Linked DNA regions of Daphnia pulex. The protein of the gene in region 1 purifies or fractionates together with the protein of each later gene. This does not show direct contact. Links are inferred from orthologs where the notes say so. Each region holds a gene or a part of one and is shown in the gene's direction. Other genes may lie near its edges.

Region 1 (3,185 bases):
TGCGACGAAAATATCGTGTATGCAACGTTACTCGCCGTCCAGCTCAAATGCAGTCTTTCCCACTGCAGTTGGAGAACGGTCAAACTGTCGAGTGTACAGTGGCCAAATATTTCCTGGACAAATACAAAATGAAATTGCGCTACCCGCATCTGCCTTGCCTGCAGGTTGGTTCTAATTTGGTCATATCCCCCTACATCTCTTAATCAATTTTTTTCTCCTGCAGGTTGGACAAGAGCACAAGCACACCTATTTGCCGCTGGAAGTTTGCAACATTGTAGCCGGGCAACGATGCATAAAGAAACTGACTGATATGCAGACATCGACCATGATCAAAGCCACTGCCCGATCGGCTCCCGACCGTGAGCGTGAGATCAATAATCTTATTCGAAAGGCCGACTTCAATAACGATCCCTACGTTCAGGAGTTTGGATTGACCATTTCCAATAGGTCAGTTATTGATTTGCAATTCTTTACGAGTGACATATTAAAAATGTAACTTCGACTTTGTTTTGCAGCATGATGGAAGTGCGCGGTCGTGTGCTTCCGCCACCAAAACTGCAATATGGGGGAAGGACTAAGCAACAGGCGCTACCTAATCAAGGTGTCTGGGATATGCGTGGCAAGCAATTCTTCACCGGAGTGGAGATTCGCGTTTGGGCAATCGCTTGCTTTGCACCCCAAAGAACAGTTCGCGAAGATGCGCTAAGAAATTTCACACAGCAATTGCAGAAGATAAGTAATGACGCCGGGATGCCCATCATTGGTAATAACGAAATAATTGTGGATTATGAGAATGGGTTGTCATTAAATTGAATATTGTTTAGGCCAACCTTGTTTCTGCAAATATGCCACTGGCCCCGATCAAGTGGAGCCTATGTTCCGCTACCTCAAGTCAACCTTCCAAGGTCTCCAGTTGGTGTGTGTCGTTCTACCGGGCAAAACTCCTGTTTACGGTACTATCATTTACACATTCTACTTGTGTCGACATCGACAATAATGAAGGTTTTTAATTTGATTATTCCAATAGCCGAAGTCAAACGTGTTGGCGATACTGTACTTGGCATGGCCACACAGTGCGTACAAGCAAAGAATGTCAACAAAACATCGCCTCAAACTCTGTCCAATTTGTGTCTGAAGATCAACGTTAAACTTGGTGGTGTTAACAGTATCCTTGTTCCTACCATTCGTCCTAAGGTAAAACGTAAATCAACTACTTTTCACACGAAAATGCTCATGTGTGTTGTTTTCTTAGGTGTTCAATGAGCCTGTCATTTTCCTTGGGGCCGATATAACTCATCCTCCAGCTGGTGACAACAAAAAGCCGTCGATCGCAGCCGTTGTGGGCTCGATGGATGCTCATCCTTCGAGATACGCTGCAACTGTTCGCGTCCAACAACACCGCCAAGAAGTTATTCAAGAGCTCAGTGCTATGGTCCGGTAAGAAATTTGACATTTTGATAATCCGCATATTGAGTTTCATGTGTTTTTGAGGCTGATGAACTTTCCTTTTTTTTCCCAGGGAATTATTGATCTTGTTCTACAAAACTACAAGGTTCAAACCCAACCGAATTATCATGTATCGCGATGGCGCCAGTGAAGGCCAGTTTAGCACCGTAAGCAACATTCTACTAGACTAAACTAACTTTGGCTTTCTAAAAAAGAAATACGTTCGAATAAACGACACGTTTTCTGTAGGTTTTGCAACATGAGTTGACCGCTATCCGCGAGGCATGCATAAAATTGGAACCTGACTACAAACCAGGTATCACGTTCATCGTGGTTCAGAAGCGCCATCACACCAGGCTCTTCTGTGCTGACAAGAAAGAGCAATCTGGCAAATCTGGAAACATTCCCGCCGGTACCACTGTCGACGCGGGCATTACACACCCAACCGAGTTCGACTTTTACTTGTGCTCGCATCAAGGCATTCAGGTGAGACAATTTATTTCCTTAATATTTATTCAGTGGTTTGATATTTAATGTATTTTTCTTTATGTACAGGGTACTAGCCGTCCTAGCCACTATCACGTTTTGTGGGATGACAACCACTTTGACGCTGACGAATTGCAGTGCTTAACTTACCAGCTTTGTCATACTTATGTGCGCTGTACTCGTTCCGTCTCCATTCCGGCGCCGGCTTACTACGCCCATCTGGTGGCTTTCCGTGCCAGATACCACTTAGTGGAGAAGGAGCACGACAGGTAATATTTAAATGACGGTGGTTGGCAACAAGACTTTATTAATCCTTTATTGATTTCCAATATTTGCAGTGGGGAAGGATCGCTACAGGATTGCATTAAGAGTTACACCAGGTACATTTCTTTGAACGTTAAATCAACGCCTAGAAAATGACTAAAATTTTCTATTTCTATTGAAACAGTGGAGAAGGTTCGCATCAAAGTGGCAGCAGCGAAGATCGCACGCCAGGCGCCATGGCTCGTGCTATCACTGTTCACGCGGATACCAAGAAAGTCATGTACTTTGCTTAAAAGTCATCGTGAAGTTTTTCCTCCCTCCCCAGTAAGTTGTCTCTTGGTCATCACGTGTATATCGGATGCGGATCAGGATGGAGTAGGAGTGTGGGGTTGTTGTATTTCCACGAGACTTGACGCTGTTTTTCTCTAGCTAGTTTGGAAGGTCAGCTTGCGAGCACAATATCCAACACATATTTCATGTCACCAACCATCATCACCACCACATCTCTGATCTGTCGTGCAAGGAGGAGCATTTCACACGTCCCTTTTAACAGAGCCATCCCCGGCGCAAAAGAATAATTTGTCCACGGCCGTCAAGTCTTTCATTATATTTTTCACGCTTATGGCGGGAGTCGAAACACATACTGCGGTGGGGTTTTAAACGAGACTTTGCACTTAAAATGTTTAATTCCCTTGTGGCAATTTAAAAAACACTTGAATTTGTTCCCCCCTATCCCTTGAAATCATCTCTGAACACGAAGTAACGGGAAGAGCGGTGTGAGAAAGGGTTAGAGATAATTTAGTAGCTCTCAACTACAATTGCATTTCCCCCTCCCTTCAGCATGTGGATGTAGTACGGACCAAGCAAATCGTGAAATTGCCCAATCAGCATTTCCCCTTATCCCGACCTCGACCGTATCTACTTCAAAGAAAAACGACAAAATCAAATTGACAATTCTTTTCGTTACCGATCTGTTTGTTTAACAATCC
Region 2 (3,660 bases), on another chromosome or scaffold:
AAGGAAATGATATGGAGCAGCAAGCAATTCCGCATCTTATCCGAAATGGGTTTCAAGAAAGAAGATGTGGAGAATGTCCTACGCAATTGCAACATGGTGATGGAAGATGCCCTGGAAACCCTGCGCTCTGGTCGTGGGATGTTTGGAGATGACCATGGCTCGGGTGGTTACGATCCAATGGGACCGCACGGAGGAGCGCCTTATCCTCCGGGCGCTCGATTCAATCCCGGTCAACAAATGCCTTTTGTTCACCCTGGAAGTGGTGGTGCACCTCATCACTTATTGAACAATCCTGCTCCTAGCATGGGAATGAACCCTAATCCTGCATACAAAATTCTTCAGCCTCAGCAACCGCCACCAATGCCGCCTCAGGTATGGATGCTTCTTTGAATAATAGATGATAAGCATTCCATTACTATTTCTCATAATTAATGCTCTTGTTTCTTTGAAATGAAACGTCATTGATGTTTTTATTATTATTAACTATAATGTGGCAGGTCAATCAATCACAAATGGTCCGGAACATGTCGCGAGTGGACACTGGCGTTTCGTCTGGTGCAGGAGCCGGTAGTCAACCTTCGCCGACTCAGTTACGAATTCTCGTTCAGCAAATCCAAATGGCTGTACAGGCTGGTCATTTGAATCCCCAAATTCTCAATCAGCCACTGGCTCCTCAGACGCTGGTGCTGCTCAATCAGTTGCTACAACAGATCAAAGTACTTCAGCAGCTTGGTCAACAGCACAATATGGCTCTTAGTAGGCCGGGACAAGGCCCTATGGGGGGTCCCATGATGCAGCTCGTACCTCAAATGAACAAAACCAAACAGCAGATTGCCAGCTTGCAACAGCAGATCGCCGCCCAACAGGCTCTGTATGTCAAGCAACAAGGCCAAATGATGAATCAACAGCCGCCCGGGGCTCCACCGAGCCAACCATCTGATCTATTCAAAGTGGATTCTGTTCACGGCATTCAGTCCAATTTGGACAGGATGAGTTTACAGGATTCTGGACAATCTCGGCTCTCTCAGTGGAAGTACCCGCCACTCGACAAGGATCTTTCTGATCTAGGCATGTCGGAATTCAGTCGTGCACCCGGGAGCAGTGGTGGAGCTCCGGGTTCAATTCCCAGCAACGCTAAACCGCCACTAGGTAGCAGCCTTTCTTCTCCCAACATGAATCCAGTCCTCGGTCAAGACGGCGGTGCTTGGTCGAGTCTTTCGCGCTCTCAGTCCGAGACTGGCTGGCCTGACACCAATCAGGATTTGTCAGCTCCGGGATCGGTGGGAGGCAACGATGGAAAGGATAGTTGGAGCAGTGCTGCCGGAACCTCTTCATATTCTGGTTCCATATCGGATCTCGTTCCCGAGTTCGAGCCTGGCAAACCATGGAAGGGACCACAGATCAAAACGGCAGATGACGATCCAACTCTCACTCCCGGAACTTTTGCCATGTCTGGTCTGAATGAGGCCGACGTTTACTCAAACAACGCATCAAAAGGAGGACAGAGCTCAACCAAAGCTTCACCTCCTCCTGTGGGAAGTGGTGGAACAAGCTCCTCGAATGAATCGGGCTTCCCCACCCTGGGTCTTTCTAATTCCACCTGGTCTTTCAATCCGTCTTCGGCGTCGTCGAGTTCCGTCCCGTCCACGTCGACTCCTTACAGTTCTGCCAAGATAGCACCAAAATCGTCTTGGTCTGACGCCCCGCCGCCATCTGCGGACCCGTGGAGCGCACCAAACAAGCCTCGTGGTCCGCCGCCAGGCATCACCCCTTCGGTAGGCGTCGGCCCAAAGACTGCCGGCCGCGACTGGAGTGCAGCAGGCAGCCGCTCACCTTGGCCTGGAACTAATACTGCCGGCTCTGGAGGCACGTGGGCCGGTTCTCTCAATGGTTCGTCGTCGTGGCTCGTGTTACGTAACTTGACCCCGCAGATCGATGGCTCGACGCTCAAAACATTGTGCGTCCAGCACGGTCCACTTCATAACTTCCATCTCTACCTCAACCATGGAGTTGCTTTAATTCGTTATTCTACTGGCGAAGAAGCTGCCAAGGTATTGTATTTCACGACCTTTTATTGTTGTAATAGAAGATCTAATGCTCTCAACTTTTTCGATGACAGGCCCAAAGTGCTTTGAACAACTGCGTGCTCGGAAACACGACGATTTATGCAGATCTAGCCAACGAATCTGATGTGCAGGGCTGGCTGCAACAGCTTGGCATGCCCGCCCAACAGCAGCAACAACAGCAGCAGCAACAAAATCAACAACAGCAACAGCAAGCTGTTTCCTCCAGTGGGTGGGGCGTCAGGGGCTCTACTCCTGGCGCCGGTTCCAACAGCGGAAGCGGCAACGGAGGTGGTGTAGGAAGCAACGCCTCAAAGGGAAGTGCCAACGCCGGAGATAATTGGGGATCTGGTGCCGGTGGTCCTAGTTCGAGCCCATGGTCGACGGGTCCCAATTCAGTCTGGTCTACTCCGAACTTGGATCGTGATTTGAGAACCACGCCGTCATCGCTGAACGCATCGCTCAACTCGTTTCTGCCTGGCGATCTCCTGGGCAACGAGTCCATGTAAAAGTGAGGATACAAACACACGTGACTCAAAAACAAAGCAAAAGAGAATCGACAAAATTACGTGTCAATTTGAGAATAGATGAGAGAAGAGAAAAATACCAAGGTAATGTTCAATTCGTCAAAAATATTTTCACAGCTGAGAGCAATCAACCAACTAATGTGTATGCCAGACGTAATATAGTGTTATTCCACCCTCCCGATCCCTTCGTATTCACGGTGACGGAAAAGTTGTCACTCTTTCAAATTTAATATTACTCTTATATTATGGCCTAATGCCGCTGCTGTTGCTGCTGCACTGATGCGTAGTGTGAACCGTCCTCTTAATCTTCCCCCGAAAAACACCAATGAGGCCATTAAGCATTTACAAAGAAAGAAAGCAAAGTAGTAGTATATTATGATATCCCTATGTTTCGTTTTTTTTTTCTCACGTGACTCCCCAAAATAATTTCCTCTCGTCTTATGATCGCTCGCGCCACACACACACCACTCCATTCAATTTAGTCGAAGTTTTTCCTATGTAAGGCTTTGTTTTTGGTCAGAGTAAGTCCTCTTGTTGTGTCTTGTAATAATTTTGTTTTGTGTGTGTGTGTGGGAGTGGTCTATCACTTTGTGCGTGCCAGTTGTTTTTTTTTTCTCTGTCTCTTTATTTGCCACTACCGAGGTGTTCTCTCGCTCCACTCCAAGTCCCCCACTTTTTTCAAAAGCTAAAAAGAAAGAGTGTCTCTCGTTCCAGAGACCGTCATGAAACCATGTTATCAGAAACAAAACAAAAACTTTTGAGAGAGAAGGGGATAGAGAGCGACGGATATTTTTTTTTTTCAAATGCTCTCTTCCTCTTGCAATTTGTTTGTTCTCCTATATCCACCTCAACAAACGACAACTACTACTAATTCTAGTGCCCTACCCTCCACTTCTTCAGCCCCGCAATTTTTCCTCCTCTTTTTTCTTTTTAAATTCTCATTCTCTTCCGTCTCTTCTCGTGACTCAATCATCTTACGAAGCTGGAATTATTCCCTCACGGAAGTAACGAAATGAAAATACTTGTGCGAGTTTTCTAGTGGGGAGATGTATATCTTTATGTAGAGAGGT

The links. The genes of interacting proteins can lie anywhere in the genome.
Region 2: the proteins of protein argonaute-2-like (region 1) and protein Gawky-like purify together in Drosophila melanogaster (affinity purification with western blotting; 17 studies listed by BioGRID, with this or other methods). This does not show direct contact. The link is inferred for Daphnia pulex from reciprocal best matches to the Drosophila melanogaster genes AGO1 and gw.

What each region holds. Positions count from the first base shown.
Region 1 is NC_060022.1:5,186,137-5,189,321, reverse strand, and holds part of protein argonaute-2-like, read left to right. Parts: coding exon 1-164; intron 165-223; coding exon 224-447; intron 448-515; coding exon 516-763; intron 764-824; coding exon 825-953; intron 954-1,027; coding exon 1,028-1,194; intron 1,195-1,252; coding exon 1,253-1,437; intron 1,438-1,519; coding exon 1,520-1,613; intron 1,614-1,695; coding exon 1,696-1,932; intron 1,933-2,001; coding exon 2,002-2,201; intron 2,202-2,270; coding exon 2,271-2,312; intron 2,313-2,380; coding exon 2,381-2,489; 3' UTR 2,490-3,185.
Region 2 is NC_060018.1:6,011,080-6,014,739, forward strand, and holds part of protein Gawky-like, read left to right. Parts: coding exon 1-372; intron 373-497; coding exon 498-2,051; intron 2,052-2,119; coding exon 2,120-2,572; 3' UTR 2,573-3,660. UniProt on the Drosophila melanogaster protein: Required for gene silencing mediated by micro-RNAs (miRNAs). Silences both polyadenylated and deadenylated mRNAs. Required for miRNA-mediated translational repression and mRNA decay. Not required for miRNA target recognition.